Linked DNA regions of Canis lupus familiaris. The protein of the gene in region 5 interacts with the protein of the main gene of each other region in a biochemical or structural test. Links are inferred from orthologs where the notes say so. Each region holds a gene or a part of one and is shown on either strand. Other genes may lie near its edges. The genes, in order: E2F1, RAD9A, TICRR, MDC1, TOPBP1 and RHNO1.

The links.
Region 1: the proteins of TOPBP1 (region 5) and E2F1 form a complex in vitro, tested with the Homo sapiens proteins (4 studies listed by BioGRID and IntAct). The link is inferred for Canis lupus familiaris from reciprocal best matches to the Homo sapiens genes TOPBP1 and E2F1.
Region 2: the proteins of TOPBP1 (region 5) and RAD9A form a complex in vitro, tested with the Homo sapiens proteins (4 studies listed by BioGRID). The link is inferred for Canis lupus familiaris from reciprocal best matches to the Homo sapiens genes TOPBP1 and RAD9A.
Region 3: the proteins of TOPBP1 (region 5) and TICRR form a complex in vitro, tested with the Homo sapiens proteins (2 studies listed by BioGRID). The link is inferred for Canis lupus familiaris from reciprocal best matches to the Homo sapiens genes TOPBP1 and TICRR.
Region 4: the proteins of TOPBP1 (region 5) and MDC1 are reported together in a solved structure, tested with the Homo sapiens proteins (3 studies listed by BioGRID, with this or other methods). The link is inferred for Canis lupus familiaris from reciprocal best matches to the Homo sapiens genes TOPBP1 and MDC1.
Region 6: the proteins of TOPBP1 (region 5) and RHNO1 form a complex in vitro, tested with the Homo sapiens proteins (2 studies listed by BioGRID). The link is inferred for Canis lupus familiaris from reciprocal best matches to the Homo sapiens genes TOPBP1 and RHNO1.

What each region holds. Positions count from the first base shown.
Region 1 is NC_049245.1:23,402,024-23,405,523, reverse strand, and holds part of E2F1 (transcription factor E2F1), read left to right. Parts: intron 1-2,320; coding exon 2,321-2,411; intron 2,412-2,791; coding exon 2,792-3,011; intron 3,012-3,500. UniProt on the Homo sapiens protein: Transcription activator that binds DNA cooperatively with DP proteins through the E2 recognition site, 5'-TTTC[CG]CGC-3' found in the promoter region of a number of genes whose products are involved in cell cycle regulation or in DNA replication.
Region 2 is NC_049239.1:50,572,299-50,576,502, reverse strand, and holds the start of RAD9A (cell cycle checkpoint control protein RAD9A), read left to right. Parts: upstream 1-1,404; 5' UTR 1,405-1,535; coding exon 1,536-1,569; intron 1,570-1,652; coding exon 1,653-1,723; intron 1,724-2,162; coding exon 2,163-2,291; intron 2,292-2,693; coding exon 2,694-2,808; intron 2,809-2,896; coding exon 2,897-2,996; intron 2,997-4,204. UniProt on the Homo sapiens protein: Component of the 9-1-1 cell-cycle checkpoint response complex that plays a major role in DNA repair. The 9-1-1 complex is recruited to DNA lesion upon damage by the RAD17-replication factor C (RFC) clamp loader complex.
Region 3 is NC_049224.1:53,071,994-53,075,922, forward strand, and holds the start of TICRR (treslin), read left to right. Parts: upstream 1-1,129; 5' UTR 1,130-1,202; coding exon 1,203-1,865; intron 1,866-3,929.
Region 4 is NC_049233.1:644,695-648,668, reverse strand, and holds the start of MDC1 (mediator of DNA damage checkpoint protein 1), read left to right. Parts: upstream 1-1,174; 5' UTR 1,175-1,189; coding exon 1,190-1,195; intron 1,196-2,672; coding exon 2,673-2,811; intron 2,812-3,362; coding exon 3,363-3,743; intron 3,744-3,830; coding exon 3,831-3,900; intron 3,901-3,974. UniProt on the Homo sapiens protein: Histone reader protein required for checkpoint-mediated cell cycle arrest in response to DNA damage within both the S phase and G2/M phases of the cell cycle.
Region 5 is NC_049244.1:31,088,102-31,091,601, reverse strand, and holds part of TOPBP1 (DNA topoisomerase 2-binding protein 1), read left to right. Parts: intron 1-449; coding exon 450-646; intron 647-2,077; coding exon 2,078-2,257; intron 2,258-2,933; coding exon 2,934-3,103; intron 3,104-3,500. UniProt on the Homo sapiens protein: Scaffold protein that acts as a key protein-protein adapter in DNA replication and DNA repair. Composed of multiple BRCT domains, which specifically recognize and bind phosphorylated proteins, bringing proteins together into functional combinations.
Region 6 is NC_049248.1:4,136,168-4,140,451, forward strand, and holds the start of RHNO1 (RAD9, HUS1, RAD1-interacting nuclear orphan protein 1), read left to right. Parts: upstream 1-1,484; 5' UTR 1,485-1,596; intron 1,597-2,084; exon of another isoform or gene 2,085-3,074; coding exon of another isoform or gene 3,075-4,106; intron 4,107-4,284. Other genes in the region: TEX52 (testis-expressed protein 52), read right to left, coding at 1-291, 661-769, 1,128-1,207; FOXM1 (forkhead box protein M1), read right to left, coding at 3,075-4,106. UniProt on the Homo sapiens protein: Involved in microhomology-mediated end-joining (MMEJ) DNA repair by promoting recruitment of polymerase theta (POLQ) to DNA damage sites during mitosis.

The DNA.
Region 1 (3,500 bases), on a different chromosome or scaffold from region 5:
TTCACCTCTGCCTTTTTAGGTTCCTGTGCCAAGCTCTAGAGTGTGGTGGCTGAAATGGAGACCTGCTTGAGCCCTTGCTTTAGGGTGTGGCATTGACCTGTCATCACGGTGGGCATGGGCCTGAGGAGCAGGGAGATGAGGGGTGCAATTGGCAGGAGGATGCTAGGTTCAGGCCTAAGGGGTAAGGCCGGAGAGGAGACACACATGGCTTTTGGGGGCTGGTCTCTGGACGAAGCTGCAGGGAAGCAGGACACGTAGTAGGTAGGAATATGGGCTCTGGGTCAGCCCATTAGGGCTCACATCCTGGCCCTATCTCTCATTGTCAGGCCTCTTGGAAAGTAGAGGTCATCATGGCATCTGTTGCAAGGTCTGGGCAGAGGGTTTGATGACTGGATGCAGGTAAAGCCATTATTTAGCAGGGCTCGGTACACAAGAGACACTCGACATGTGTGAGCACTTCTATCCCCGGGGCACCTGAGGGCATCCATGAGTGTGCGATGAGAGTGAGGGCTCGTTGGCACGTGCAGAGGTTCACACAGCAGACGGGAGTTAACACCAGGCCCTGCGAACAGTGATGATTCCATAATTCCGGTCCAGCGCCTGCCTCGGGGCACTGCCTTCTGGGTGAGACAAATACATCTCCAGAAGTTGGTTGCAAGAGATATTGTGGGGAAAGGTCAGGTTTGAGGCATTTTGGCCTGGTCTCTTGCAGGATGAGAAGACCTAAGTAAGGAGTAAGGTGCCTTCCCGCAGAGGTGTAAGAGTTGGTGTGAAGGCAGGTGGGGCATTCATGGGAGGGAAACGGCTCAGGCTAACACTTGGAGGCACAAGTTTGTGAGAAAACACGTCTGAGCAGAAGTTTACGTGGAGAAGTGGCAGAGGAGGGCACTAGGGTGGAGAAGGATAGGTGGAGGCAGGGAGTTGGCTGAGTGGTCCAAATGGGAGGAGATAGTGGCTGTGGCGAGAGGTTTCTCAAAGGCTACCAGATGGCTGCCCAGTGAGGGTCTAGCTTGGGAAACCCCGTGGGTGGGGGAGGACTGGGGTGGGTCAGGATGGGCCTGAGATGCCTGAGATATTCTGGGGCAGTCTCCATCCTCCCGTGTGTGTGACTAAGAGGGTGTTCTGGACAGGAATCCTGGCTTGGCTGCTTCCTGGCTGTCTGACTTGGGCCTCTCTGGGCTTCAGTTACTTTATCCATAAAGTGGAGCCATTATTGTGCTGCTAGTCCATAGGACGGAATGAACTAACGTGCAAAACGTGGTGAGTACTAGCTGCCACCATGTTCACAGAATCCAGAGAGAGAAGGTAACTTGCCCAAGGGACCTGTATCCTAATGGCTTAAAACAACAAGTCCTTAATACAGCACTGTGTGTTAATATACTGGCATTGAAATTAAAAACAATAAAAAAGGGTAGCCCCCGTGGCGTCAGCGGTTTAGCGCCGCCTGCAGCCCAGGGCGTGATCCTGGAGACCTGGGATCGAGTCCCATGTCAGGCTCCCTGCATGGAGCCTGCTTCTTCCTCTGCCTGTGTCTCTGCCTCTCTCTCGCTCTGTATCTCTCATGAGTAAATAAAATAAAATCTTAAAAAAAAAAAATAAACCCCAATAACAAACAATTATTATCACACAGATTTTGGTGGGGCAGGAATTCAGAGGAGACTGCTCAGTGCTTCTGGCGCAGGATCTCTGCTGAGATCGTAAGCCAAAATGTTGGGCGAGGCTGCAGTCATCAGAAGGCGTGACCAGGGTTGAAGGACTTGTTTCTAAGACTGATGTTGCTACTGGACAAGGCCTCAATGCCTTGCCACTCAGGCTTGCGTGACATGGCAGTGGCTCTCCCCAGAGTGAGTGGTCCATTATAGAAAACAAGGAGGAAGCTCCAGTGCAGCTCTGACCCAGTCTGAGAAGTGACTTGTCATCACTTCCATCCTACTGCTCTTGAGAAGCAAGTTACCAGATCTGGTCCATATTTAAGGGGAGGAGAATTAGGCTCTATTTTTTTGTTTTGTTTTGTTTTGTTTTGTTTTGCTTTTTTGAAAGGGAGAGTATCAAATTTGCAGACAGATTTTAAAACTGCCATAGGCACCCAGGGAAATACTGGTGGAGCTAGAACTTAAACTCAGGTCTTCTGCGCCCCATGGTTGACTGATCTGTCCTGTGCGGTAGGACTGTGTCCCCTGGGATCTCCCCATCCCTCATACACATAGGCGACATGATAGAGAAAGTGGGGCAGGGGTGACCCAGGAGCACCAAGCCCAGAGCCCAGTCTTTGTGGCCTCGCTCCTGGTTATTAAATATCATCCCATTGTTTCTGCCACAGGTAAAGCGGAGGTTGGACCTGGAAACTGACCATCAGTACCTGGCTGAGAGCAGTGGGCCAGCCCGGGGCAGAGGCCGCCACCCAGGAAAAGGTACCCACAGAGCTGGGGCTGGGGCAGGCCCCCTGACCGGGCCCAAGTTGGGGGTGTGGACAAACATGCTTGCAGAGTAAACTCTGATCTGTCAGGCCTGGACTGGAGCCAGGCCTCTGGGGGCCCTGAGGGGCAGCTGGAGTGGCTGCCTGGCATGGCTTCCCCAGGCCCTGGGGGGTGGGGAGTTCCCCAGCCAGAAGAGGAATGTCTCGTGGTTGGCAGGCAGCAGCCCCAGGCCCTCATGGTTGGTTTTGCCAAGGGGAAGGAGCCATCTGCCCATCCCACTCCCATCTTTCGGCCCTGTCCTGCACTGCCAGGAAGGCTAGCCCACCTAGGTGTGGGGGTGGTACTGAGGGAACCCTCCTTGCCTGGACCCCTAGGTGTGAAATCCCCAGGGGAGAAGTCACGCTATGAGACCTCACTGAATCTGACCACAAAACGCTTCCTGGAGCTGCTGAGCCGCTCGGCTGATGGCGTTGTTGATCTGAACTGGGCGGCTGAGGTGTTGAAGGTGCAGAAACGGCGCATCTATGACATCACCAACGTCCTCGAGGGCATCCAGCTCATTGCCAAGAAGTCTAAGAACCACATCCAGTGGCTGTAGGTACCAGCCCTTCAGGAGGGCAGGCGGAGGCTAAGGCCTGGGGCCAGGCCAGCATGGAGGAGCTGATAGTGATCCCCACCGTGGCTGTCCGCATCCTCATCGTCTAGCTGGGGAAACTGAGGCTCGGAGGGGGAGGTGGCTTCTCTGAGGAAGTTTCCACAGATTTCACATACGCAGCTCAACGCACCCTCGTGTATTTCTTCGTCTGGGGAGTCACCATCCAGATCAGGATAAAGAACATGTCCGGCACCACAGAAAGTTCCCTGTGCCCTTCCCAGCTGTTGCCCATCCCTCTTAGCTCATCACCTCTTAGGTGATGGCTCTTATGCCCTCTGTCACCCTCAGTAGGATTGTTAATTCTTGTTAATTTTTTTGGAAAGACTTTATTTGACAGAGCACAAGCAGGGGGAGCAGCAGGCAGAGGGAGAGGGAGAAGCAGGCTTCCTGCTGAGCAGGGTGTGGGTCTCCATCTCAGGACCCTGGGA
Region 2 (4,204 bases), on a different chromosome or scaffold from region 5:
TGTGATGGGCAGTGGGGGCTGGTGAACAAAAGGCCTGTCTGAGGACCAGCAACTAAAGCTGTGCCCTAGGAAGAGAAGGAGCCAGCAGGGGGAACGTCCGTCAGGAGGACGTTTTAGGAAGATCGCTTTGGTGCCATTTGGAGAGCGGACTGCAGAAGACAGGAGGCAAGAGACCATTCAGCTCCTACAGTCGTTCAGGTGAGAGAGGATGGTGGCCCGAGCCAGGATGATGGCTGTGGAGATGGAAGAGTGTGCCATCTCTTTGGAAGGTGGGACAGTCAGGGCTTATACAAGGACTACAATACCTGGGGTGATGGAGAGGGTCTAGGCTGACTCCCAGTGTAAATGCCTGGGTTGAGGGGGGACCATTTACACTGACCCCCATGGAAGGCAAGAATAGCCTCACCCAGTGCTCTAGAGAAGTCTGGTGATGGCACGGACACTGAGGCACGGGGGGCGGGGTCCGGAATCACAGGCCAGGAGCTGGAGGGCAAACGGCTGGTAGACAAACACCACTCCTCACTGCAGACAATACCAGAAGGGCAGGGCCAAGCAGGTCCTAAGAAATGTGGGGATGCCCAGGGCCCTGAAAGGCCCTACAGAACCTGGATGCTGTGGGGGCTTGAGTTCAGGAAATCCCTTAGGGACTTCCCTTCCACTTTGCAGACTTGGAGCCCAGAGCCCAGGGCGAGGGGGAAAATTCCCTGACGAACCGCCCCCTTCTGCACAGTCCTGGAGGCTTTTTAAAAATGACCCCATAAACGTGACTCTTCCCTCTTATAACGTTTCCAGCGCTTCCCACTGGTGTCCCCCACCATTTGGCAGCCTTCATCCCTCTGCAAGGCTCACAGGCCAGTTCCCTCCACGAGGGCCAAAGCCCACGCACCAATGCCCTTTCCTCCCGCTCCCCCTGCTAGGTACACCCTTCTACTCCTTTGAGCCCCCAGAATCTTCCGTTCTCCAAGGGTCAATGACGGATCCTCGAAGCCACAACGAACAGCCACTCTCCCACGCTGGAGTCCTGCAGGAAACTGCTTTCATCTCGTTAGAGCTGGTGGCTGCTGCCTGCGTCCCCGGGACGCTCCAGCTCGACCCCACGTCCAGACAGGCGCCCAGGAAGACCGGTACGAAGCGGCCCAGGAGGGCTCGCCCGCACACGTGCTCGCTGCCTCGCGCCGGGGACTTCGTGCTCTTGGTGTCCAGGTGCGCAGCCGCCGAGGCCCCGCCACGCCGGCCGGCGCCCCGCGCTCCCGGCTCCGGTGACCGCCGCCCGCCCCTCACCGGGGACCCCGTCACGTGACGGCGGAGCAGCCGGACGTTTTCTCACGTGACGGAGGCGCCGGCGTGTGGACCAATGAGAAGGCGGGGGCGGGGCTTCCGAGGGGCGGTGCGCGGGAAGGGAACGCCGGGCCGCTCGGCGGCGGCTGGTGAGACCCGGACCCGAGCCGCGGGCGGGGTGGGCAGGGCCCGGCGCGGACCAGCCGCCAGACCCAGCCCGGTCGGAGGCCAGGCCCGACCTCGGCGCTGGGGGCAGCATGAAGTGTCTGGTCACCGGCGGCAACGTGAAGGGTGAGTTCGGGGCCCCCGGGGGCGGGGGCACGTGGGACCGCGGGAGACGCCAGCCTAACCCGTTTCTCTTCTCTTCCCCGCAGTGCTCGGCAAGGCCGTCCATTCCCTGTCCCGCATCGGGGACGAGCTCTACCTGGAGCCCCTGGAGGACGGGGTGAGGGGGGTCACAATCGGGAGCCAGCTTCACCTCGTGTCAGGCTAGATGCCCTTGGGCAGAATTGTCTGCCAAGGTTGCTCCCCCCCCCCCCACCGTTGTTGGGGTGTCAGGTTGGGTCCTGTCATCTTCCCAGGCCGGTGTGTGGATCGAGAGCCATTGCCCTCCCCGAAGTGCCTTGTGTGTGTTTGGGGGGGGGGGGGCGGGTAACTAGGGAAAAAAGGCAGTGTGTGCTGACGGTTGTGTAGGGCCCTTGCCACCAGGGACTCAGGGAAGGCTTCATGGAGAAGGCAGTCGCTGACTGGAAGGAGAGGGAGGATTTCAACAGGTGACGGTGGAGGAGGAGGACATTAGGACAGGTGTGAGCAGAAGCCAGACAGAGGACAGAGCCTGTTTCTGCCCCCTGACCGCATCCCTCTCCCTGCTCTTCCTGGCCCAGCTCTCTCTTCGGACGGTGAACTCCTCTCGCTCTGCCTATGCCTGCTTCCTCTTTGCCCCACTCTTCTTCCAGCAGTACCAGGCCACCACCTCTGGTCAGGAAGCCCTGCGCTGTAAGATCTTGATGAAGGTGAGGTGTTCCCCCCCCCCCAACCAGGAATGGGTCCACCCTGGGGCATTCAGAAGATCCTGACTGGGGAGGGGGGTGTATGCAGGAGCAAACCAATGTAAAATGCATTGAGGTGTACAGTAGAGACACCACAGAGGGTAATGGGAGCTGGGGAGAGGGTAATAGATCCTTCCAGGGACCTGGAGAGAGTGGTGATATTGAAAAGTAAGCAGATCTTTCAAGACATCCCAGACAGGTGTGATAGCATGAACAGAGAAAGGCCTGGAAAAGCATAAGTGTTCTGCATGTTGTGGGAGCTCCCTCTCTAGTGTGACAGTGCTGAGCCTGGGATGGCCAGAGCCTACATGGGATGTGGAAGCTGGTTGGTGGAGGCCACTGGGCTGATGGGTTTCCCTTGCACAGTCGTTCCTGGCTGTCTTCCGCTCGCTGGCAACGGTGGAGAAGACTGTGGAGAAATGCTGCATCTCACTGAATGGCAGGAGCAGCCGCCTGGTGGTCCAGCTACACTGCAAATACGGTGAGGGGGCAGCTGACTGGCCGAGGAATCCCTGGGGTGGAGGGGTGGAGGTTAGCAAAACCCACTGAGACCCCATCTGCCCATCCAGGGGTGAGGAAGACTCACAACCTGTCCTTCCAGGACTGCGAGTCCCTGCAGGCCGTCTTCGACCCAGCCTTGTGCCCCCATGTACTCCGTGCCCCAGCACGGTGAGTGTGTCCCTCTGGATACAGACTGAATGTGGGTCTTTTTTTATTTTTTGGAGCTTCAAGGGTCAATTTGAGAAGACACCTTCTTCATTTTCTCTACAGAGTTTCTGTGAACCTCAAAAAATTAGTCCAGATCAGTTTGCTCTCAGGTCTGGCTCTTTAAGGGCAGAGGCTGGAATAGAGGAGGGCATTGCTCTGTGCTCCTCACTGTGTCCAGGAACCTGCATTCTCCACCCTAAAGATCTGGCTTGGCTTTCTGGCCACTTGGACCCCTTCTGACTCCCCTTTTAGGAAGCAGGTCTCTTGCTTGCCCTTAAGTCCCCTTCCTTGGGCTTCAGGAGCCTTGAATGTCCATCTTTCACTTTCTGGCTCAGGGGCTCCAAATTCTTCTCTGGAGTAGTCATCTTTCTGGGAGTGTTCTCTATTCAAGGGCAGCCTCTCTTCCCATCTACTTGGGCTGGAGCTTTGAGAAGTCCACAGGCCAAGGAAGGAGGCTGGACAGGGAGGCCATGCTCCAGGAGGGCAACCTGGATCAGCAGCTGTGGGGGTATGGCTGTCCTGGGAAAATCAGAGCACACCTAAGGGCTATGCAGGGCCTGGGAGATGGAGTCTACAGAGGAGGCAAAGGTTCCTGCAGAAGACCAATGTAGAGAGGGATGGCTCCCCTCCCACCCCATGCTGGATGCTGCTTGCATCCGAGTAACCCAAGGTAATGTTCATTTCTTTTTGTAGCCATAGGGTATGATAATTTGAAGTTTCCTTCGGGTCCTGAGTCTGTTTTTCTGAGTTCTGTTGAGATAATGCTGCTTAGGACTCCTTTGGGTAGAGAAAGAGAAAAGGATATCACCTCTGGTCTGGATTTTGGAGCTTTATTATTATTTTTTTTTAATGAGCAATTGTTTTTCTTCTTTCTTTGTTTTTCTTCAAATATGTATAAAAGTGGATGTCTGCTCCCATCTGCTCCGGTTCCAATTGTCTTGAGACAAATTCCAATTGTTACTTCATATGTAAATATTTGTCAACATGTATTCCTAGAAGACAGAGATTTAAGGCCTTTTTCCTGAAGGCTGAATTTCTAGGGATGGCCTGGGTGTGGTTTCCCACCCCTGGGTGGGCAGGTGCTGCTTGCCTGGTTTGGCCCAGTGCAAACATTCCATGCTTTCTGTTGCCTCCTCTGGGCTGTGCTCTTGTCTGCCCCATCCCTTGCA
Region 3 (3,929 bases), on a different chromosome or scaffold from region 5:
AGTATATTCCCCGCTACTATAAAAGTAACAAGGAAATACAAAATTATAGACAATTTAGGAAAGAGTAATATAATTTTAAAAAGTAAATCAGCATAATGTCATCACCCAGAAACCATGACAGACAACTTTCTGTACAGTTTTATCTTAACAGTTTAAAAATATACACATAGGGATGCCTAGGTGGTTCAGCGGTTGAACATCTGCCTTCTGCTCAGGGCATGATCCTGGGGTCTTGGGATCCAGTCCCCCATGGGGGCTCCCTTCGAGAAGTCTGCTTCTCCCTCTGTTCGTGTCTCTGCCTCTCTCTGTGCCTCTTATGAATAAATTAATAAAATCTTTAAAAAATAATAAAAATATTCACATAGAAAATCCAGGGTTCTCACTGCATGCAGTTTGGTAGTCCTTTTTTTTTTTTTTTTTTAAATCTACTATTACATATAAAAAGCTACAGGATGTTCCTTCCCTTTAGGGTGTACCATGCATTAACCATTGCCAGTTCCCATTTGAGCTGTTTTCCAATTTTTCTCAAGTTAGCTGACTCTGATAAACATACGTCTTTCATTTGTATCTAATTATCTTCTTCAGAGAAACTCCTTGAAATCATTGGGACAAAGGAAATGAACTTGTTAAGACTTTTTTCTTAAATCACAGAAAACGGAAGTCTTTATCATCAGATTCTACTCCATAGAAAGCCTGGGGTGGCTTCATCCCAGTCTGAATCAGACCTTCTCCATCCAATTCCCTCCCACTACCAAGTTTGCAAACTTAGTAAACTCCTCCCAGCAGCCCGCACCCGCGCCTGCGCACAATCGCCCAAACGCCGGCCTCCAGCCCAAAAGGGAAACTTAAGGACACGCCCCCGAAGCACAACCTCTTTAAATTTTAAAACGAAGGCCTCAGCCAATGAATGTGAAGTTTCTCCCGGAACACGGGGCCCCGCTCACGGCCACGCCCTCCGCCAATTAGGCAGAGGGCTTCTCCGTCTCCCTTCCAATCAGCGCCCAGGATGGAAGTTACTCACGTAAGGTACGTAAGGCAAGCGACCAATAGGAGCTGATTTTGGGGGAGGGCTCCGCCAATGGCAGGAGCACTCGGAGAGCGCGGGAGCTTTTCCACCGCAGCTCCTGAGGGAAGCGGTGAATGGCGCTGGTTCTCTGAAGCGAGGCCCGCGGCTGGAGCTCCGGGGCTGCGGCGCGGGCGCCATGGCCTGCTGTCACAACGTGATGCTGCTGCTGGACACCGCGGGCGGTGCCGCCGGCCGGAGCTCAGTCCGGCGGGCAGCCCTGCGCCTCCTCACCTACCTGAGTTGCCGGTTCGGCCTGGCCAGGGTCCGCTGGGCCTTCAAGTTCTTCGACTCTCAGGGGGCGCGGGGCCGGCAGTCCCGCGTGTCTGACTTCCGTGAACTGGGGGCCCGCTCCTGGGAGGACTTCGAGGAGGAGCTGGACGCCAGGCTCGGGGCCGGCGCCCACGGCGCCCACCTGCCGGGCCCCGCGCCCAGGGCCAGCCACACGCACGGCGCCCTGATGGAGACGCTGCTGGACTACCAGTGGGACCGGCCCGAGATCACGTCGCCCACGAAGCCGATCCTTCGCAGCAGCGGGAGGAGACTGCTGGACGTGGAGGGCGAGGCCAGGGAGGCCGAGGCTGCGCTCGGGGGCTTCGTGAACGCGGTCTTCCTGCTGGCTCCCTGTCCGCATTCGCAGAGGGAGCTGCTGCAGTTCGTGTCCGGCTGCGAGGCCCAGGCCCAGCGCCTGCCGCCTCCCCCGAGGCAGGTGATGGAGAAGCTGCTGCCCAAGAGAGTCCAGGAAGTCATGATCGCCCGAAAAATCACCTTGTACTGGCTGGATACCACCGAGTGGCCTAAGGTAAGTTCGCGGTGAGCTCTGACTTGGCGCGCGGTGTCCTGCTGGCTGACCGGGACCTGGCGGTGTCTCCGCAGAGGCGGGGAGACCCAGAACGAGACTAGCACGACCAGCATGTGTCTCCTTCAGAAGGAGAGTCCTGTGATTACGAACTGGGACGATAGGTAAGTAGATCCTTGGTACATCCTAAGGTCAGCATTTAAGGTCCTTCATAATTTGGGTCCTGTCTGCCTTCCCCGGTTCTACTTTTCCTACGAATCCTCCAGCATATTATTATTATTATTATTATTTGGGTCCTGTCTGCCTTCCCCGGTTCTACTTTTCCTACGAATCCTCCAGCATATTATTATTATTATTATTATTATTGTTGTTGTTATTATTATTTTAAGATTGTATTCATGAGAGAGAGAGAAAGAGAGAAAAAAGCAGGCTCCATGCAGGGAGCCCGAAGGAGGATTCGATCCCGGGACTCCAGGATCACGCCCTGGGCTGAAGGCAGGTGCTAAACCGCTGAGCCACCCAGGGATTCCCCCTCCAGCATATTATTGAAGCATCCTCTAGTCGTTCAACAAATCTTGACTGCTTGTTCTGTCTTACCAGTCACCCTGAATGCCAGCGCTCACTCTGCTATGCCTGTTTAAACTCCTCTCTAGCCTTGCCCCGTGGCAACTACTCAGCCTCAACTGAATTTCCATGCACTTTTGTGGCACCTACCCTTTCCGGGTTATAGGTTCCAATTGTGCAAATCGCCTTTCATTTAGTCTAAAATACCTCAAAGGCAGGTACACACACACACCTTTGTATTCCCTGCAGATGCATGTCGCTGAACATTGTAAGTGGAATGAATTTGGGTACTTACAATGGTAAATGGCTCATTTGGATCTTTATTGAGCCAGTAGGACCTCTGCTTCCGTTAAATACACAGAGATAAATATGTACTTTTACCCTTAGCATTTTCCTTCTGTCATCTTCATTTAGTGAACAAATAGTCATTGAGAGGGACGCCTGGGTGGCTCAGTGGTTGAGTGTCTGCCTTCAGCTCAGGTGGTGATCCTGGGGTCCTGGGCTCGAGTGCCAAATGGGGCTACTTGCAGGGAGCCTGCTTCTCCCTCTGCCTATGTCTCTGCCTCTCTCTGTATCTCTCAAGTATAAATAAATAAAATCTTAGAAAAAAAAATCATTGAGAAGCCATTACATCCAGTGCCCACTATACTGTTAGAGCTGTGGAGGGGTGTGGTGGTCAGCTGAGGTGGTTTACCTTCTAGTGAGGAAGATACATTAAACAGATAAGAATAAACAGGTGAGCAGGAAAAGGTAGAAGGGTGGGGGACTGTTGTATAAAGGGTCGGGAGTGCTCTATGAGCAGAGGAGGTGACAGAGGAGGAACAGGAAGGTTGGGAAAGAACATTCCAGGCAAAGAGCAGGTATAAAAATTTGAACTGGAAATAAGCTTAGTTTGTTTCAGAAAGCACATGTCCTTTTCTAGACAGTAAAAGTGCGCAGTTTCTTCTAATTGCTGGGCAGTGGCTTAACCAGGTCAAATAAGTGGGCATGTGTTTCCACTTATTGGAAACACATGTCATTAAACTAGGAGTGGGTTAAATTGCAAGATTACAAATGGAAAATGAGCAGGTACCTAAAGAATGATAATACAATGTTAAAATTTCCAACATGCTTTCACACACAAAGCTCAAAAAAGACATCGTAAATCCAAAATAAGGCAGCAGTGGCTTGTCAAAGAAAAAGAACAAAGGTCTTCAAGGTGATTGTAAACATTTGAGAAAATGGAATTCTAGAACTTAAAATTTGTTAAGGCAACAAATCAAGTTTTGGACATAGTACACAAGACCTAACTGCTTGATTTGGGATAACTGACACCAAGTCACACCAAAAACTTTATTCTGGAATTATATCAGAAACTGGCTAGAAATAAATCTTAGCAGATGGGGCTTGGAGATTTTTCTCCTTTTTCTCTTTTTGGAATAGCATTGCAATAAATAGATTGACCGAATCTTTTTAAAGATCTCTTTCAGTTCTCACATTCTACCATCTGAGGGAATGGGTCCT
Region 4 (3,974 bases), on a different chromosome or scaffold from region 5:
GGGAGGACCGAGGAAGGCTCTCTGGCCGCGGCCGACGCCTCGGCGACGACTGTGGCCGGCCCCTCTATCCACCGACGGAGCCAGACTCTGTGGTCGCGGTTCGGAAATCTGCGCGGGAAGTGGGCGGTGCGTGGTGCGGCGGTGCCGCGCTGTGCCTTGGAGCTGCCCAATCGCGGCGCGCCATTCAGTGCGCGCACGGCAGCCTCGGGTGACCGCCTCACTTAACCGATTTCAGGCGCCCAGGAAGACCTGCCCCTTTGAGCTGCTGAGGGGGCGGGGCGGGGCGGGGCGGGGCGGGGCGGGACCTTGGCGGCGCCCCCCGGTTGGGCGCTTCCTCAGTCGTCGGTCGTGAGAGACAGCAGCAGAAGCCAATCAAAGGGCCGGCGCCCTCTCGGCGCGAGCTCCCGCGCGCCGGGTCGCGGCCGTTACTGGCGGCGCGCGGGGACTCGCAGTGGGTGAGTTCTGGGGGCCGCGCCCACCGCTCGCGGGAGCCATCTTGATCCTCCCGTAGGGCGGGAGGGGCGTGCCCTGCCGCGCCGGGGCGGACGGCACTTGCCGGTTGGTTTCTCGGATTGTAGTATTCAGCCTTACTTGACGCCCCGCCCCGAGGTTAGGTATGAAGATGGGGAGACGTGGGGCCCGGCGGGAAGCCCCTGGGGTGGAGATGAAAGATGGTGGCGCCCCGGATGGAGCCGCGGGGCCTGGGCTCCCGTTGAGTTCCTGCCTGCGGGACGGAGTCAGCTCTCCCCGGGGACGACGCCTGCTTTCCCTGTCAGCAGTTAGTCTCTAAGGGAATTCCACCCTCACCGTTTTGAGTTTTCATCACCTTTCATTTGTCCTTTCGCAGGACGGTGGGGTTAATTTTGTTTGTTTTGTGACTGTATTCCGAGCTCCTTGAACAGTTCCAGGTGCTCAGTAGGTATTCTTGAATGAATATGATGTGACCTAGGGGAAGAGACACAGTTTGCGAAGGCAGAAATGGAAAGTAATGGTTGCAATATGGTGAGAAGTGTTAGGGGAAATAAAAGTTCTCCGACCACGGGGGGCATGTGGGGACACCAAGAACAGAAAGCAAGGACGCCTCCAGGAAAGGCCTTACTGAGGAGGCGACATTTGGACTGAACCATAAATCATGGGTAGGAGTTGGACCAGAAAACTAGGAGCTAAGGGCCAAGGAACTGACCAAGGCATGCAGGTATGGGGAACCACAGGAGCAGTGTGTTCAGTTTGGGGAGAGCAGGTCCATGTGGCTGAACCATAGGCTTTGGCAGAGGGAAGCAGGCCCTGAGGTGCAGATCATGGAGGATCTTGCTAAAGAGTTGAGATTTTATTTCATCCTGTGGGCATGGAAAGCCATGAAGTATTAAACAGAGGACAGAAAATACCTTGTTTACCTTGGGCAAGTTCCTTAACCCGCCTATGTTGCAGTTGCTTAGTCTGATAGAGTAATAATAATAGTTTAAAACATTTTTATGAGGATTAAGTGAGTGTCAGTATAAACTAGAGTAATGCTTCATACAGAACAAGCCTCTATGTACCTCGGTTGTTAGGATTCTCGGCAGTTAGTTGATCACATTGAGATGTTCTGCTAAAGTATAAAAAGCATGCGGTTTGCCTCCAGAAGCACATTTGTTCCTATCCTTTCCACCTACCTGCTATGTTACCCTAAGCAAGTCATTTAATGTTTTAGCCTTAATTTTTGAGGTTTTATTTATTTATTCATGAGAGACAGAGAGAGGCAGAGACATAGGCAGAGGGAGAAGTAGGCTCCATTCAAGGAGACCGACGTGGGACTTGATCCCTGAACTGGGATCATGCCCTGAGCTGAAGGCAGACGCGCAATTGCTGAGCTACCCAGGTGTCCCTTAGCCTTACTTTTTTAAATGCCTGCCTCATATGTCCATGGTGCCTAACACATAACACAATGCTGAGCACATAGTTGATGCTTGGCAAAGTTTAGCTCTCTCTAAAATATTTTTTTCAGGCTGTGGGTTCCAAACCAGTAAGTGGATGGTGAAATCAATTTAGCAGGTTGCAGATCAGCATTTAAACAATAGTGGATGGGAAAAAAAAAATGAAAACTATCAGTATATCATATACCATAAGGCTAAGCATTGTTTTTTCTCAGAATGTTTGTCTCTTTATACATAAGCACATGCATTTGTAGTATGTGTACTTGGGATCTCATACTGTTTATTCCCACCCCCGTAATATTTATTTATTATTATAGACACAAATGTTTTTTAAATAGTTCAGAAGGATAATAACAGGTTGGTTGTCAGAAGGAGACATGTCGGGACACCTGGGTGGCTAAGCAGTTGAGCCCCTGCCTTCCACCCAGGTCGTGATCCTGGGGTCCCGGGATGGAGTCCCACATTTTATTTTGGGATTTTATTTATTTATTCATGAGAGACACAGAGAGAGGCAGAAGGAGAAGCAGGCTGCCTGCAGGGAGCCCGATGTGGGATGGGATCCTGGGACCCCAGAATCACCACCTGGGCCGAAGGCAGGCACCCAACCACTGAGCCATCCAGGTGTCCCAATAAATAAAATCTTAAAAAAAAGATAGGAGACATGTCAATCTCCTATAACTCTCCAGGGTTATCTCCAGTTATCAGCCTCCTCTCTGAGACTGCCCGAGGACCTGAGATGATAATGTGTTTACTTCCCAGGTCATGGAGGACACCCAGGCTATCAACTGGGAGATTGAAGAAGAGGAGGAGACAGAGAGACCCAGTGAAGCCTTGGGGCGTGGCTTAGAGCCTGTAGGGCGGTTGCATATCTTCAGTAGTGCCCATGGACCAGAAAAAGGTCAGTTTCTTGGATGATAAAGTACTGGTATAGGCCTCTTATTTTTATGGGGAGGTAGTTGGACGGTTGTAAGCATCTTTTATATGTCTCGAGGAGATCTGAGTTTTTCACTGGGAATGCAGAGGAGGGGCTGATTGAGTTGATTGCTCCTGGCAAGTACCCTGGACTCAATGGGCTCAATTTTACTTTGGTAGGAGAAGATGAAGAGATTCAGATGGAAATCCAGCATGGTCTGGAAATGAATGGTGGTGATGGTTGCACAACAATGTGACTGTACTTAATGCTACTAAACTGTACACTTAAAAATGGTTAAATGGTAAATTTTATGTATATTTTACTGCAGTAGAAAAAATCCAGTGTGGATGGATGGGGTATTGACAATGAATAATGCATTGCTTATATTCTTCAATACTTATACGTCCTACCGTCTTTTATTTTTCTTATGTGTGTGGGGACTTTGAGTTAGTAGTGGGGTACTTACTTAACAGGAATATTTTCCCGATAGCAGGCCAAGACTCAGGCCTTAACCTATCTATCTCTCTAATTCTTAGATTTTCCCCTGTATCTTGGGAAGAATATGGTAGGCCGAATGCCTGATTGCTCTGTGACCCTGCCCTTTTCATCCATCTCCAAACAACATGCAGTCATTGAAATCTTGGCCTGGGACAAGGCACCTGTCCTCCAAGATTGTGGCAGCCTCAATGGTACTCAAGTCCTAAGGCCTCCTAAGGTCCTAAGCCCAGGGGTGAGTCATCGGCTGAGGGACCAGGAGTTGATTCTCTTTGCTGACTTGCCCTGCCAGTACCATCGCCTGAATGTCCCCCTGCCCTTTGTTTCCCGGGGCCCTCTAACTGTAGAAGAGACACCCAGGGTACAGGGAGGAACTCAACCCCAGGGGCTCCTGTTGGCTGAGGACTCGGAGGAGGAAGTAGGTATGTTTGTATATTGGGAGGGTGGGTGAGAAGATGGGGATGGTGAGTATAGAACAGTCAACTAACTTAATTCCTTTTTACTCTTAGATTCTCCTTCTGAAAGGTGTGTGGTGAAAGAACCAAGGACCTCCCCTTTGGCAGCAGTAGTTCCAGAGAGGTAAGTGCCAAAGGGCCAGACACTTACATCTTTAAAAGGAGGAGGAACCAGGGACTGTAGAATCTATCTGCAAG
Region 5 (3,500 bases):
CATTCCTAGCACATCTCTCTTACATGGTAAAAGAATGATGATATTTTTGTTAGTATTCTGCCAAAAATCATTGCTTATTATTTATTTGATATAATGGACGGATAAAAAGTCCATTTTTCTAGTAAGTAACCAAGATCCTTTGAGTTTTTAAGTAAATTCACAATTAAAATATTGGAAAATACACCACTTTGACCAGCATGGACTTACAGAGTTAATGAAATGCATTTTACTTAAAACAGTTTTATTTGGGAAACCATCTGAAATATTTTTTTTACCAGTGACATGGTTGAGCTAGATGAGCAATTAGTGTAATTTTTTTTTAAGTGTCAGTTCCCTTTTTTCTAAAAAAATGAGGAAAGCATTAATGATTTCTTTTGTTTGTCATTATTCGTCTAAGTTTTAAACAATCTAGTGTATTAATATGTTAATTTTTCCTTTGTTTTCCCCAGAAAAATATCTAGATATACTGATGTAAACATGGAAGACTTCAAGTGCCCAATTTTTCTTGGTTGCATAATCTGTGTGACTGGGTTGTGTAGCTTAGATAGGAAGGCAGTTCAGCAACTCACAGTTAAGCATGGAGGTCAATATATGGGACAACTGAAAATGAATGAATGTACACACCTCATTGTGCAAGAACCAAAAGGTAAAAACTGTGTTTTCCAAATGGAAAAAAACGGAAAATTTTCTATAGCATTTAAAATTAAAAATCTTTACAGAATAGGTTTTTTATCTGATATGTTATAAATCTGGTAATTTTTGCTCCCTTAAAGTCTTAAAAAGATAGTTTGGGTCACAATCTTTAGAAAAATTACATGACTATCCAGGTTTGCCCAGGTCTCTGAAAAGTATTTTTTTCTGTTTCCAGTGGTTTTTATTGTTTGATATGTTTTTTGTAAGGAAAAAAGTTTCCTATATAATTACCAAAAACAAAACAAGAAATTTGGATGAATAACACAAAGGCTAATAGATGTAGCTAAATTACATATCTTTCTAATGATAAGTTTAAAAGGCTTGGCTTAAAAAAAAAAAGGCTTGGCTTAGTTTTTAATCAGCTTTATTGAATGAATTACAAGTTGTAACTTGAAGATACGCCTTGCCAACATGAGGCAGGTAAAGAAAAAAAATAACACTACCAATAAAAATTCCTTAAAATTGTGTTTAATTTTGGTGTCCTGTGACCTTTATATCTATTTTGGAAGTGGTGTTTTGGGTTTGTGTTTTGTTTTGTTTTTTTACACCAATACCCTTAAAATATATACAAATTGATGTAAGAATTTTGTTAATGTTTTTGTTCTCTTTATAGTGTTTTATTAAGCTACCTGGATAACAAAATTAGAAAAAAAAAATAAACCCTGCTAAAATTAATTAGTAATTGTCCTTAAATCAAAACTTTTGGGTATGGCCAATTGTGACATTATAATTGTGAGTGGAGTTGGTAACTACTGTTGAATTTCTAAATCTGAAGTCTGTTCATCAACTCTCAATGTCCAAAAAAATCCTTCTTGTGTTGTTGTTTACTACATATTGATCTCAGTTTCTCTAGGACACTCTTTCAAAATACATTGTGTTAGAAGTTGTTTAAGGCAATAAAGATATATTTCTTATATACCTATTTATTTTGACTTCAGGTTGAATCCTATTGACATTGGAGTGGTCTATTCAAAGCTGGTATTTTTTTTATATTACAGACATTTACAATCTTAACAGTTGTTTTAAGTAGTCTTATTAAATCCACATAATTAAAAAAATAAAATATAAAATAAAAATAAATAAATAAAGCCATATAATTCTGTGAGTTATTCCCATGTTATAGATTAAGAAATTGGTTTAAAGAAATTAAGCAGTGGAGGCTATACTCAAACTAAGTCTAATATTTCAATTATCCCACATAAATTATGCAATCTTAAAAGATACCCCCACACATACACTGTATAGCCTACTGTTTGTGTAAGATTAATTACTGGTAACTTTAATTTTGTTGATTTTTTTTTTTCCCCATTACCTATCATGCTTCGAATATTTCTAGAGATAGAATTTAATGTTTTACATTTCTGTTTCCTAATGAACATGATAGGTCAAAAATATGAATGTGCCAAGAGATGGAATGTACACTGTGTGACCACACAGTGGTTTTTTGACAGTGTTGACAAAGGTTTTTGTCAGGATGAATCCATATACAAGACAGAGCCTAGACCAGAAACAAAGACTATGCCTGATACTTCAACTCCTACTGGCCAGATCCACACAGTTGACAGTAAGTTTCAGTGGGATTAAAGTAGACATTTTTAACCACCATTTTCTGTGTTAGAATTGATTTGTAAATAGAATCAGTGAGATATAGTAGGGAATTCCATCCTTTCTTGCTCTGCTTCCAGGCACAATTGTATAACTAAATTGTATGAAAATTAGTCTAGAACTCCAGGTATTTCCTTTTATAATAGATGAATATTTTCTTTCATACCTTGATTTAATGCAAAAGATGATTAAGGAAATCAAGAGTATTAATAAAGACTTAAAAGAATAAATTTTTCCAAGCCTGACTGGTGGGCAAATGTTAATACATTTTTGCTACAATTGTTATAGACCATCTGCATTCATAGAAAATTGAAAACTATTTCGATTTTGTAGGTGCCACATTGGCAATTTAGCAGGTGTTATACTTTTTTCTTTCCCAGACCCGACAGTCAGCAACTTCAGAATTTTAATGGAAGCAAACCACTATTAAAATGTATTAAGTGTATTTTTATTTGAATAATATACGAACTTTAATTTATTTCAATTTCCTTTGATACTTGACCACCAAGATTTCAATTAAACCATTTAAAGCTTAATTTGGAAATTGTTCACAGCTCTTTGTGTATAAGAAAAATAGTAGGAAAATAGGTAATCGCAATTTTATCTCCATAAATTTCCATATCTTTGATATGTAGGTCGTACTCTTTCAGATGTCAGCCATATTTCCAACATCAATGCAAGTTGCATAAATGAATCAATGTGTAATTCAGTGCTTAATAGCAAAGTGGAGCCTACCCTTGAAAATCTAGAAAATTTGGATGTCAGTGCATTTCAAGCACCTGAAGATTTATTAGATGGTTGTCGGGTATGTCTTGATTATGTTATATATGCAGTGATCCTAGTCTGACTTTGAGGACCCCTCAGAGTTGGGCTTACTCCTTATCCATATAAAATAAGCCTTTCACTCTAGGGGAGCAGATGCAAGCATTAGGCCACATCTGTCCGTAATTGTCATTTATTGTTTGTAAGATGCTAGACTGTGCTAATCAATTCATATATATTGTTAATATGTTGTAAATAATCTCATTTAATTCCCACAAATAACTAAAATGGATATGATGCTGAGGTTTAGCAGATTAAAATTCTTACTCAAATTCACACAAACATTAAGTAGATAGCTATCTACTGCAAATCCTATATTCCTAACCGTTAGACCCTCTGCTTTGTTTAATGACTCTTGGGCTCCTTAACTTTTTAGTGTA
Region 6 (4,284 bases), on a different chromosome or scaffold from region 5:
CCACACGTTGCTATCGTAGGGCCTGTCGGGCCTGGTGGGGAAGGCGGCGGGCAGGCGGCCCACGTCCAGCCACGTGTGGAAGCCCCAGGTGTGCTGCGCCGCGTCCTTCTCGGGGCGGAGCAGCCGGCGGCGCACCTCGGCCTTGCGCGCGGTGCAGGGCGGCAGCCTCAGAGCCAGCCGGCGGTAGGCCTGCGGGGTGAAGCCAGGCCACGCCCGGGCCGCACCAGGGAGGAGGAACTCGCGCCGGGCCCGCGTCTGGGACGTCAGGAGGGGCTCGCTGGCCTGGGCCATCTGGGGAGAGACCAGAGGGAGCCTGGGGAGCGCCCTGCCTTCGTCCCGGGAGCAGCTGCGGAGAGGCCAGGCTGCAGGCCCGCTCACACCCCGGCTTCTGGTCGGGACCCTGGTGGCCGGGCCTGGCCACGGCGTCTGCGGGCTGGGCCTGCCGTCAGAAGTCCGGTCTGCTCTGGAGGGTCCCCCTGGGTTTCTCACCTTGTGCTTTCGGATTTCCCACCCTGCTCTCCTCCTCACCGGTCTCCCAGCTCCTCACTTTTCACTTTCGTCCCTCCTCTGCACTCTGGCTGCCTCGGGCTCCTGCCAGGGTGGGGGCTCTGAACAGGGCCCAGGGGGCCCAGGGAAACTGTGAGGGGAAAGGCCCCTTACCGAGCGAGGCGTAGAAGGAAAATCATTCTCCGGAGAATGCAGCCCAGGGGTTCTTCTCTCCCGGACTCGTCCTCTTACTCGTTTCTCTCTCATGGGTGCGTTTCCCTCACTTCTCGTCCAAACACAAGCCAAGTATGGGGAAACATCTAGAAGGCTGGTTTCTTCCCTTTCCTTTGTCCCACCTCCCGTGAAATAAACTGGGCCCGTGCCTATAACTGGGCCCAGGTAGGTATTGGAACTGTGCTAAACACGTCCACAACTCAATTAACCCTCACAATCCTAGGAGCAAGCATTGTTACGGTCTCATCTCAACGATGCAAAAAGCAAGACATGGTGAGAGTCAGGAACTCACCCGAGGTTGCCAGGTCTGTGAGTGGCAGAGCTGGGACTTGAGCCATCTGTCCGTATTACTCATGAGACTATGCTCTTCTTTCCACCTTAGGACCTTATTGACTACAAAAACTCACCTGCCTCTTGGGCCCACTCTGCTGTCATTTCCACGTGACCACCCCAGGAGGTGGGGCTGGGAGATGTAATAACCAGGCATCTCCTTTTCTCTGTTCTGAGCTCTGTGTTCATAGTACCACAGGACTGAGAGACATCTATTGACCCCCTGACCCCAGGGGGGCAGTCCTTAGCCCAGCAGTGTGCAAACAGATAGGCTGTGGAGATAGGGCCCCACCTCCTACCTGCAAGAAAGGTTTTTGGACATGAGGCGGAACACGCCGCCCTCTGGGTTGTCTTGGTGGGCTACTGGCCATTCCACCTGTGGGCCTGATTGTCAGGAGAGGCCGCTTGGTAGGGAAGACTTTCCCTGGCAGCATTGTTTGCTGTTGGGGTTGCTATGGTGATGCTTCCTGGATGGTGACGCAGGAGGAGGCCCTTACCTCTCCCTGGGAGGACTCATCAATCCTTTGGGGCCTGGCTGCCTTTCAGGTGAGACAGGCAGGGGATAGGACTTATGTGTAGATGGTAGCCAGAGGGGTTTTTGGGGAGGGACTTGCCTAGGAGGGCAGGAAGAGAAAAGCAGGGTAGGCTGGCTTCCAGGCCCTGGGTTGGGGTGGACATGATCATGAGGTGCCTATAACTGGGCCCATCTTTCCTTACTCTCCAGAAGGGCAGGGCCCTACCCCTCTGTAGGTCTTTCCCTTATAGGGAGAACCAAAGGGCCAAGTTAACCATTAGGTTCAGTGGTTCTGAAGAGGCTGGCCATGCAGGACCAGCCTGGGAAACCTGCCAGTTTCTGATGTGTGCCTGCATAGGATGTGGGAGGCAGCCCAGGCCAATGCCCTGAGCACTCCCCTTCATGTGCTTTGTGTTGGCTTCAGGCCTTACCAATTCCCTGTCACCACCATCTCCATCTCCCATGTTCTTCCCCAACCCCTCCTTATGCCTCAGGGACCAGACACCAACACACCACAGAGAGCACTTCCACCCTGGATTTTATTGACAGTTATGGTAGTGTTCTCGAGCTGGCTCACATGCATGCGGTCAGCTGGGGCCTCAGGTGGCTCTTAGCAAAGCTGAGGTGTGAGCTAAGGAAGTTAGGCAGGGCAGGGCCCTTTCAGTCTTCTCAAGCCTTGGGCCAAGTTCTTGGCAAATGGCTCGTCTCTCTGGCATGATTAGGGACGTTATCAGAGAAACATCTCAGGGGAGCACATCTGGGCACCTGCATTCTTTGCTTCAGATGCATCCATTCCCCCACCCCCAATTCAACTCTTGACCCTTGACAAAAGACCTTTTTTTGTCAGGATTTCTTCTTGCAGGAAAGCTGACTTGGAAACATGGGAAGGTGGGAAGGGAGGGGGACAATAAGCAGGACCCTAGGAAGCAGATCTGCTTGTCTACAGTAAAGAGCCCTGAAGGCAGGTGCCCTGGGCCTGGAAGAAACCGTACACTGCGCGTCCTCCCTTCTCTAGGAATTGAAAGCAAGGAACAGGAGCAAACAAACCCCTTGTCATCCTACCCACCTTTCTGGCAGTCTCTAGATAATGATCTAAGGAAATAAGCTTACATTTATAATTAGAGGATAATTTGGAGAATATACACTATTTACAAGGGCTGCCCTGCAAGGATCAGGAAAAGTGGGGGACTCCTGGGCACAGGTGTAAGCAGTCCGAGGAGTTCCTAATCTCTTTTCACCCTTGCTTTTGCCATTCCCAACCCTTAGCTCCTAGCAGGGAGAGTGAGGAACCGGATTCTTTTGGGGAGCAGTGGTGGCACAGTGACCGGTCACCAGGACCTTGCTGCTTGCAGAGGGCTCAGTAGTGGCCACGGCATGATGTCCGTCTTGGCATAAGCAGGCAAAGTGGAGCTAGAGGGGCGGACGGTCCCTGCCTGCTGTCCTCGGATGGCCCAGCCACCCGAGATCCTGGAAGCATGGACAGCTCAGGCAGCAAGGGTAAGGTAGGCCTCTACCGTAGCTCAGGAATGAACTGAGCCCAGTTGATGCTGTCCGGGCCCAGAGGGTCCTCCTCCAGGCCAGGAAAGCTGATGTCCAGCAGGATCTTGCTGAGGCTGTCATTCATCGTGTCCAGAACCAGGCCTTCTGTCAGAGAGCGGTTGGCTGAGAGGCTGGCAGCCTCTGGCCCAGGGGAGTCTGGCTTGGGGACTTCCATATCTGAGGGGGAGGAAGTGCTGAAGGGGTCAGAGGTGAGGTCAAAGGGCTCAGAACTGAGGAGCTCTCTGGGCGAGTCAAAGAGGGGAATGCTTTTCAGGGGGGTGGTGCTAAAATCCGTCAGCCCCAGGGCATCAGGCAGGGGGCCGAAGGCAGCCTGGGGGTGGTGTACTGGGCTGAACTCTAGCCCCCCTACTTTGGCTGGGGGTGTGAGCCTCCAGGATTCGGGGGTCGCGGGGAGGACAGATTTGCTTGGAGTGGAAGAGATGGGCAGCGTCTCCTTAATGGGCGTCTTAAAAGGTCCTCCCTCCTCTTGGGAGTAGCCAAGCCGGGAGGCAGGCTCAGAGGACTCTGTGGGCAAAGTAAGCTCGGTGGCTCGCTGGGAAGCCCCGGGGCCCTGGGAGAAGAGCAGCTCGGGCTCCGGCTCATCCAGGCAAGGAGGCAGGAGGTGCTGTTTCCTTCGAGACCGGCTCATCTCCCGCCCCTCCCTCCGTTTAATCACAAGCATTTCTGAGACACACCGGGCTGGGGACTTGAGCCCGCTGTAGGACCTCTTGGGCCTTGGCGTGGGAGAGTGGGAGGAGTCCTCCCAGGAATGAGAGGATTCCTCTTTGATTGACGGGCACGGCGAGGGCCACTCCTCCAAGGGCGGGCTCTCCACTTTGATGGGCCTCCCCAAGTGTAGCGTCTCCTCCCCAGGCTGGGGTTCTTCCTCCTTGATGGACTGAACTGGAAGCAGAGGAGACAGCCCTTCTCCGAGCGGGAGTTTGTCCTCTTGCAGGGGCCCTGTGGCCGGCAGAGGGGCCACCCCCTCCTCAGCTAGTAGCACCTGAAAGGGAAGCAGGGGTGCAGTGAGAGGAAGCTCTCTGGGCCTTAACATTCACCCCACCCACCAGGCGGGACACAAGATCGTGACTAAATCAAGCCATAGGCTGGTACGGATCCTCATTTTCTATCTTTTAAAAGTCTTACAAACTATGAAATACGAGAATATACGATGAAGGTGG